Linked DNA regions of Mus musculus: all the other regions are reported to be linked to region 2. Evidence: microRNA targets listed by miRTarBase, many of them from high-throughput screens and not tested one by one. Region 2 holds a microRNA gene; each other region holds the end of a gene's coding sequence.
The links. The annotated mature microRNA mmu-miR-34b-5p reads AGGCAGUGUAAUUAGCUGAUUGU and lies in region 2 at 1,545-1,567, shown strand. An mRNA with a match to its seed (bases 2 to 7 or 8) in the 3' UTR can be bound and repressed. Matches are read on the target gene's strand: a 7mer-m8 pairs with bases 2 to 8, a 7mer-A1 pairs with bases 2 to 7 and ends in A, and an 8mer does both.

Region 1 (3,088 bases), not on the chromosome of region 2:
TATATTTTTAATTTTTTTTTTAAACTCATTCCCTAAAGGTTTGAACTGAGGTGTGCGTACTAACAGTCCCCATGCTGTTATCTTTACTCTTGTCTAGCTACACATGCTGAGAATGAACTAACCTACCAGAGTTTTATCCTCTTTTGTATATCTAACCAGCAACCACTCAGTTTAGAAGCACAGGGCCCCCTTCCCATGACCCGGCCTGGCTACTGCCTGCACACTGTGAAGCTGCCTGGAAAAGATGGGTGGGGTGGTGGTGGAGGGGGCATGAATAACCACAGACCGCCCCTCTATAGAAAGCAGAGCAAACCTTCAGAAGTCATTGCCAAAGGTGTTCTACTCTAAGCTTATGAGTGGGTGGGAATGTTAGCTTTTTTTGTGTGTAAATGAAAAACACTGACCAAATCATAATCTGAAATAGGAAAAAAATAAAACAAAACATCAACAAAAAGCAGAAGGAAACCAGAGGATAAATGCCAGGATAAACCAAGATTAACGCAGTGATCAGAGCACAGCCCTTAAACAAAAGTGGCGTACGAATGTTCTAAAAATCTCTTTATTCTAGAAGTGGCCTCGAGCGGCCAGACACTTCTCCGTTCTCTCTGAATTCATCCTAAGTGTCTCCTCGATTATATACTAATTTTCAGCATCATACATTCATTTCTTTTTCTTTGAGATGCTAGCCCATTCTTTCCACAGGAGCTATAATACTGTTGTCTTGATTTCTTTTCTCTGCAGTAGCCCCGGATTTTCTCCTTATAGGAGTTAGTTTTGGTCTCTCTACAGGTAGAGAAAAGAAGGAAAGAGAAAAAAAAAAAAAACAGGAAAAAAAAAGTAAAAAACTTTGGTTCCATTGCCTACATAGTCTGCTAAATGAACTCTGCTGACGGGCAGTAATTTCCCTCAGGTTGGCAAATAGCCTGGACCTCATCATTTGCCTCTGAATCCTTTCGCCTCCTTTGATCAACAATAAGAGGATATTTGGCTTCATCAGATAAAGTATAAAAGAAAATAATTTACCTTTGCGTAATATCTTTGGTAATTTTAGAAATAAAAAAAGGTACAAAGTATATAAATTAAGCTCCGAAAGGCTCTCAAACTAAACCCAAACAAAAGCTACAGCCCCAGATAAATACATGCCAGGGAAGCGGGTGCAGACGGAAATGTGGAGGGGTTTGAAGGGCCGAGGGCATATTGACCTAGAGCCATCTCATTCTGTGGGCCCTGGTCTGTCTACCTGGTGTCCTCTTCCGTGAAGTCTGTGCTACTGGGGTGGTGGGTGTGGTGCTCACATTGCAGACCAAGCTGCAGTACCGACTTAGCACACTGGAACCTGACACATTAGCGTCTGCTGAGCTCAGTCCTCATTAACTCCCATAACAAGTTCAATGTGAAGTCTCATTTGCATTAAAACAGATGAATGCCACCGAGCAGGTCTGAACTACTGTACAAACTTAGCCCTGTCACCATGCTGGCTTTTTGGTCATTTTGCAAACAGAGCAACCTGTGCGGGTGAGGATGGCACAGGGCCTGTGGTCCTGGTCACCTGATTATAGGAGGGAAGATCTTCCATGGCCACTGTGACAGTCTAACTATTGAGGATTGTTTATTCTCTTCTGTTTCTTTCGTGGCTGTGTTTCCTGATGCTGAGAGAATGTGGTGGCAGTTACTCACAATGGTGGGTGCTATGAAAAAGAAAAAAAAGAAAAACCTCCAACAGTCCCCCATCCCACCCCCAATACTGTTTTTGTGAAATGAATCTGCCATGTCCCTAGAGTGTGCGCGCGTGCGTTTCTCTCTTTCCTTTTCTGTCATTCATTCTCTTACTGGCAGGATGTCATGTCCCCGTGTGGGGACCTTCAGGTGTAAGGTGCAGCCTTTGGGATCTTTTTTTTTCTTTTCTTTTCTCTTTTTTTTTTTTTGGAAAAAGACCAAAACGGAATGTTTTGTTTTGTTTTGTTTTAAACTTGAGAGAAACATGGTGATGTCTATAGGAAAATGGAATGAGTGCCAGAAAACTACAGACGAGAAATGACATTCAGCTCTGTATAATAAAAACGCCTATTAACATTCATCACAAGGTACAGAAAACGCGAAGCCTCCAAGAGGCCCTGGGCCCAAATGGAGGCCTGAGGTCAGAACTTAAAATGGTAAAGAAGCCAAAAAAAAAAAGAAAGAAAGAAAAAAAAACAGTAAAAGAAAAAAAAAAAAGCAATACATTAAAAAATTTGGGATAATTATTTTTAACCCCTCCCCCCAATACACACACAAAGGCCTTCCCCCATCCCAACTGGAAGCGAAAAACAAAAACAAAACAAACCAAAGTGAGTAAAGGCAGTGGTATCAACATGCAGCGCTGTGCAAAAAGGTCGTCCACTGGAGTCTTGAACTCGGGCGAAGGCTTGGTCTGCAGCGCAGGTACGTGAGCTCAGTCGGGTGTCCTCGGCGCCCGCCCAGCATCAGCCGGGCGAAGCTGCAGTTCAAAGTCTGCTGCTAAAAGTGAATCCGTTTATCGAATTTACAACACTGATGTTGACTCAAAGAGGAAAATCCCAAGTACCAAACAGGTCCATCCAATGCACAGAGTACAAATCCCTTTTGTCAACAAAAAGTAGAAAAATCAAAAATACTCCCAAATGGGATTCTTGATGGCACTAAGAGTTAACACGTTTCAGAGTTGTCAAAATGTAGCGAAAATCCTCCAGACTGTACAAGAAACGGAGGGCGGGTTTCACTGCTAACTTTTGACGTGGTTTCTTTTCTTTTCCTTTCTTTCTTTTTTTATTTTTTTTTTAAATTTGTTTTGCTTTTTTTTCCCCAATCTTCGGTCTCGGGGGTCGGCCCGCCCAGAGGTTCACTCCATGTCCTCATTTACTGGTTCGTCTTCGTAATCTCTGTCATGGTCAAAATCTGGACTGTGGTTGGCTGTTGTCACTAAGGACAGAGGGCCTTCAGCTTCCTCGGGGTCGAGGGGTTCTTCTTTGACGTGTATGGGGTGCCTACAGAGAAAGAGAGAGAAACAGGCTTAGGGGAACACCCGGATTGCCCTGACGCTGGTGTTGGAGCAACCTACAAGAGGTGCTAC
Region 2 (3,088 bases):
AGGTATCAGTGTATAGCTAAGAAATGTCCCTTTGTAGACTGCAAGACTGTTGGATCAATACAAATGGGTGTCATACAGCATACAGGAAGACCACAGTCTGGGACGGCTACTTCCTACTGAATTCCACAAAGTTTGCAATCAGAGAATACTGTATATCCTCTCTGGGCTCAATTAATTAAAGGAAAGGAGAGGAAAGACTAAAGGAAAGAAATATTAGTGAAGATGGCGCAGAAATGCTGTCCCCTCAGCGCCTCCTATTCCCAATATACACAAACACGCACCCCGTTATCAGATATAAAATAGCAAAAACAAGGGGAATGTAACTGACAGAAGATATGGCTTCTCGGGCTTCTACAGACCTCATCCTTAATGTCCAAATCTACCCTTGCTTCAAGGATCTACCTGAACTCTCACCTCCTCCATGATGGTGTCTGTCAGCTCTTGTTGGCACACCTCCCACCCCCACCCATACCTGTTTTTTTCTATTAGGAAAATCTATCAGTTTAGCAACTTTATACTGTCTGGAGTAATAAATAATGTGTTCACATTTTGTTACCACCTAGACTGTCTGATGGGTAGTAAGACAAACGCCTGTTAGGTGCTGGATTTGTAACATTTAAATAAAACAGGAGCCCAAAGTGAGACTAGATATCCTCAAGGCTCACGGGGAGATCATCAAAACTGTGTCTTTGATCTTATAAGGGCCACAACTTTGACCTACCAACAAGGGTGTTGGTTCAATGTTTGACCAGAAGAGTGGCCCACACTTCACTGTATGGCCCTGTAAGAGGTAGTCCTAAGAAAGAACTTGGGTACAGGCAAGGGCAATCCTGCAGGTATGAGTGCCCAGGCCTGCTCAGGCAGGAAGGCTCCAGATGAGACGCCTGGGAAGCGGTTTCTGAGAATGGGCATATGAACAGTGAGGAGGCCTGGGGCTTCTTGGGCAATATATTGGGAAGGAGAGATGGATGTAGGTCTCTGCGCTTCTTTCTTCGATGTAGCAGTAACTACACTGTGAAGATAAACTTCTCAAGAATCTGTCTCTCCATCTCCCCGGCCCCTTCCCAGGAGGCTCTGCAGGAGCCCTCCCATTGCCCCTTCTGGTAGCTTCTGCCACCCCTCCCCCACTCGCCCCGCCCCCTCGGCCTCGGGGTTCCAAGGGCGGTTGGTCGCTGAGCCACGGTCACTCGGCCAGTAGGAGCTGCGGGGCGCGCGGGCTGGACAGAACCGGCTCTAGACTTGGGTCTGGAAGCCGTGAAGAAGTTGTTGGAGGCGGGTCAGACCCGGCTTGCGGGAAGAAGGACTCGGGCCGGATGCCCTGGGGTCCGGGCTGAGTCGGGGGTCTCGGGGGGGACGGCGGGGACAGGGGGCCTCAGCGCCTGGGGGTTCACCTGGGGTCGCGCGCGGCCCTGCTGGGTGTGGAGGGGCCTCGGGAGCCTGAGGCACCTCTCGCTCCGCCGCCCTCGCCTGTCGACCGTGGCGAAAGGGGGCGAGGGGCCCGACCCTCGGGAGCTGCAGTGGCGGGCGCCCGGTGCTCGGTTTGTAGGCAGTGTAATTAGCTGATTGTAGTGCGGTGCTGACAATCACTAACTCCACTGCCATCAAAACAAGGCACAGCATCACCCGCCGCCCGCGGGAGGAGAAGCCAGCGCTGCAGCCCCACTGACTCCGCAGAAAGCCGAGGCCGGAGCCAGGATGCGTCAGCAAAGGGCCGGGAGCACGAGGTCTAAGTGCAAGTAACCCTCGGAGACCGGCGGCCTCCTTTAGGGACCGTTCGGCTACCTGTGTGTAAGAGCCAGAGCAAAAACGGTTCAGTGATGTGTAAAGAGAATCGGTATACACCGGCCTTAACATAAAAAAAAAAAAAAAAAAAAAGGCCAGGAAGAGCCCCCCCCCCCCCCCCCCCAGAACAGTTCCTGCTGCTGCTGTGATTCACTGCCTGATTTCCACTTCTGAGAAAGCTATCACCAAGGCAGCGACTAGAGTCAACCACAGCTTGGCTGACGATTTGCTCTGGTCACACCAAAGTCTGAGAGCACCAGCTAAAGACTGCATGCTTTTTTCTGAGTCTAGTTACTAGGCAGTGTAGTTAGCTGATTGCTAATAGTACCAATCACTAACCACACAGCCAGGTAAAAAGACTGAAATTCCTCCGACTGAGCCTCCTGTGAATCGTCATTTTGGTGAGGACAGAGCCATAGGGAAATATTCTTACCATACTATTAGTGGTTTGGGGGGGGGGGGGGAACCGCTAGCCCTTAGCTGCTAAGTATACAATGTATCAATTTGTGTGGGGTACATTTTTTGTGATTTTTAGATATATTGGAAAAATAGAAATTATCCCTTAGCTGATTTGGTCATTATATTGACTTGTGATTATAAATCTTTGGACTTTGCCTGACATATTAATAACACTCTAAAAAATAAAGCGCCACGAAAATCTCAGCAATCGTGTTCATTTCCTTTCCAAAAACTGGCTTTAGGATCTCCATTTCAGCTCCTGTCAACCCCGTAAAGTCATTAAATGGTTAGTTGCTATACAGACAAAATCTCCAGGGAAACGTCTCACACATGATTGTGACCTGGAAGGGAACGTTAAATGTTTTCATAATTTTCCATGGGGCAAGGGAACTCAGCCCACTTAACCAGGTATATTTTTTAAGGTATTAACAGTTGCGTTCTAGGCAACTTTTCGTGGGAATAATTAGTGAACACGATTTAAAACCAGCTGGTTTCCTAATATCTGTAATAAAAGATTTGAGAGGTTTTAAATCACACAAGCTGTATCCACCGGTACTTCTCGGCCCAGTTCTAGATTAGCGCTTTATGCAGATGTATCAATGCAAACCTGAGAATTTCCCCAGAGGTAAGAGTGCGAAGCCTTGGCAATCTTGTCCAAAAGAGGAAGGCGCTCTTTAAAGCTCACATTATTGGGCTATCTGGGGGAGGAGGAGACGCTGGCTGAGGATCTAAGAGACAGTCCAGGACTGTACACATCACAAAGTTGAGGCTTTTACTCTTAAGGCTTGACTGGCCCCGAAAATTGTGACCTCGACAGAAGCCAGCTGCTGATGGGCCACAAGCCCTC
Region 3 (3,088 bases), not on the chromosome of region 2:
ACAAACAGGGATAAAGAAAGGAAGCAGAGCACAGAGGTCAGCGCTGGCCCGATCTGTCAAGGCCCTCAACAACTGTTTTCCAAGGATTCCGCTACAAGCAGCCCAAGCAGTGATTTGACTTCAACTGTGAGCCAATCACGTCTGCCCCATGAGGAAGACGTAGCTCAGTGGTACCCTGGGTAGACATGTTTGTAGCATCTACAGTGCATGTCAGGAAATTCCGTGATGAACCTTCTGAGGAAGGGAGGGAGCCTTGTGAGAAACCCACACATGCAAATAACACCTAGGAATGAGTTGTTCATGAAACAGTCAGGAGATGAGGCCATCTCCTATGGCTCTCATCTGAGAGAATTCCTCAAGACTCAATCCCACAGGCCCCCGCTGTAGGAAACAAGCCAGAGAAGCAGCAGAGAAATGGGGGCAACACAGGGAAAGGATGTGATCTCCAATGCAGCACAAGGTCGGTGGTTGATTCTGACAGAAAGCAGAGACTTCAGTACTTGCGGTCAGGCTAAACAGCTTCCTTTGAACGCCCCCCCCTAAAAGCTCGCTGACCAGGTATCTGCTCTCAAGGTATCAAACAGAATGTAGGATTTATAGCAAACTAGCCAGTTTCTTGTCACTCTGTTCCCAAAGAGAACAACCTTTAGCACCTGAACACTAAGAATGACTTCGTTCTCAGAACTCCCCCCCCCCCAGGAGGTAGGTAAGATTATTTATCCCCATTTGGCAGCTGGGGAGGAAGTGAAAGAGATATCACAAGACTCACCTTAAGCTTTGCTCATACTTCAGAAGTGTAGGACTCCTGGTGACAGGCCAGGTCTATCTATGAAGGAAATGCCACACTCATTCCCTGGGAGAAGTCTAACTACATAGCTGGGTGGACAATACCCTGAGTTGCCTTCAAGAGTCTAAAGAACCCCTCCCCACCCCATCCCAAAAAACCTTCACAAAAAAATTACTCAACCACTTTAAAGTTGGTGGGGGTGGGGGAGCCTAAATCCTAATACCCAATGGGGCCCTACAGTCCACGCTGACACTACTATGGGCTGTAGGGAAATGTGGGAATAAGACAGATGGCAGCAAATACAACCAAGATAGAAAATACTTTCTAGAAGAATCCACCAGCATACAAGGACACATCTGCTAAGATGTTACAAAGACTATTCCTAGACTTTCAGAGCTGATACTGGGAGGGCGCAACTTAGGCCGGAATGCTGAGAGGCAATGGATTGCAGTGGGAGGAAGCCGAGTAGGTCCACTGCAGTGGGAATGCCCAGCCTAGGGCTCAGTTTCTTTCTGGTTTCTCCACTATATTGCTGCCGGTGGAAGAGGACATGATTTTGAGTTTCTAAATATAAAAATTATAGCTGATAGGGAAACCAGGGACCCTTTTACACCAAAAACTAGAGGTCTTAGTGGACAAAGGCAGTGCAGCTACACATGAGGCCCAGGTCAAGACACCATGCAGAGGTCAGGCAGCAGAAGGGTAGGGGCAGTGCAGGCACTAAGGCACAACATAGACAGACAATGGAGGAGTGTAGGTGCCTAGGGGAAAGGTCCTCCAGGTCTTTCTGAAGTTACTACTACAGACTGAATGAATATCAAAGCGGGCCTGACAGGCTGGGTGGGAGTTTAGGTTAGAGGCCTTTCAAAAGCTTTGCCTAAGTCCCAACATCTATCAGTCAAATCTTTTCTCCACAGTCCCGACTGGGTTCCTGGCAAGGCAGTCCTTCATTTTCAAACCCGAAGGGGCTTCTCTCTCTCTCTCTCTCTCCTGGCCCTAAAATGCTAAAAAGCCTTATAGCGGAATGGTGAGGTGAGATGGGAACGGGCAGAAGCAAAGGACCAAGCACAGTCCCGTAGATCATGGTGCTCCCCAACCCCCAACCCCACCATAAACATCTGTAACAAAATCACCCTTTAAAGTGCACATCTCTCACAAGAAGAGTTCTGGGCGGGAACCCTCTTATTTTCAACCATTGGGCCTCCTGCCCTCCCACCACAAAGGACGGGAGGGAGACAGGAAAAAAGAAAGAAAACAGTTTTACTGCTACTATAAGCTGTGATCATCATATTTGGCTCTTTCTTTGCTTCCTCCCTCTGCCACCTGCTCCCAAAGCCTGCACTTTCCCTTGTAGGAGCCAGGGATGAGTAGGAAAAAACAGGGAGGCCCTGATTTTGGAATGTGTCTTATCCTATGTGCACTCCTACCCTTTCTTGCTCCAAGCCTGCAAGTCCCCATCTCAGCACCCTCTAAAGGTGTCCTGAGAGGGTGCCATGGGGTCACGAGCAACACACCCTGCTTTGGGAGGCTGTCTTAATGTCTGTTTCCCCCAAATCTCACTGCCAAGAGAGCCACCCTCTGCTTGGCATGTGCAAATCCTCTCGATGCTCACAGAGGCTCACCTCTGGGGAGAAAGCCCCAGTCCTGGGTTGGGAAAGAGGTTCATTTTCCTGCATTGGAACGCCCTTCGATGGACAGCTTTACCTCCTGTGGAATGAAAGAGGGACGGAGCATCGCAGCCCGTGCCTCCTCCCCTTGCATGCTGAATCTTTGGAAGCTTGGGGCTGGCCAGCAGGCCTGAGCACCAGGCTCAGGCTGGGAGGGTTCTCCCACCCGGGAACCCTCTCCTGAAGGCTGGTTCTTCCCCTCGCTGTCACATAGGTCTCTGGGCCCCAAGACTGTCCTCTCAGGCCTTTCTCGGGGTGTACCCAGCTGCCCTGGGGGAGCACAGCTGGCCTGAGATACTGAGTTACTGTTCAAGCTCTGTAAACTGATAGAGATGCAGACATCTCCCACCTGTAGCCGATGGCAGGGCAGAGAGAAGAGTTGTGCAGTCCGCCCAGGGCTGCAGGAGGACCAACCCTGGCCATATACAAAAAAAGGGTGCTCAGGGGGCACCTCAATGCTCACTTTGCTCTGCTGTTCACCAACCACGAAATGCAGCATAACAAATCCAGGCCACTGGCTCTCCTGAATGTCCACGACTGTGCTAGAGTCAATTTTCAGCCCCCCACTCACTTCCGCACTTCGCACAAAATCCTGGGTCTGGAGGTCCTCTACCCGCTTCAGCTCCCCTGTAGC

Region 1: the mRNA of Foxp1 is a reported target of mmu-miR-34b-5p. Seed matches in the 3' UTR shown: 7mer-m8 at 2,337-2,343 and 7mer-A1 at 1,664-1,670.
Region 3: miRTarBase lists Atxn1l as a target of mmu-miR-34b-5p. Seed matches in the 3' UTR shown: 7mer-m8 at 1,495-1,501 and 7mer-m8 at 1,428-1,434.

What each region holds. Positions count from the first base shown.
Region 1 is chr6:98,927,233-98,930,320 of GRCm38, forward strand. It overlaps Foxp1 (forkhead box P1), which reads right to left. Exons shown (of 19, transcript NM_053202.2): 19 at 1-3,002. The coding sequence ends at 2,858. Among named protein-coding and RNA genes, the nearest start is that of Gm38865, 200 kb to the right of the region's middle.
Region 2 is chr9:51,102,089-51,105,176 of GRCm38, reverse strand. Mir34b (microRNA 34b) reads left to right here and starts at 1,532; the gene lies at 1,532-1,615. Mir34c (microRNA 34c) reads left to right here and starts at 2,067; the gene lies at 2,067-2,143. It also overlaps a transcript of Hoatz not described here and a transcript of Btg4 not described here.
Region 3 is chr8:109,729,116-109,732,203 of GRCm38, forward strand. It overlaps Atxn1l (ataxin 1-like), which reads right to left. Exons shown (of 4, transcript NM_001080930.2): 4 at 1-3,088. The coding sequence ends at 2,450. Among named protein-coding and RNA genes, the nearest start is that of Atxn1l, 7.1 kb to the right of the region's middle.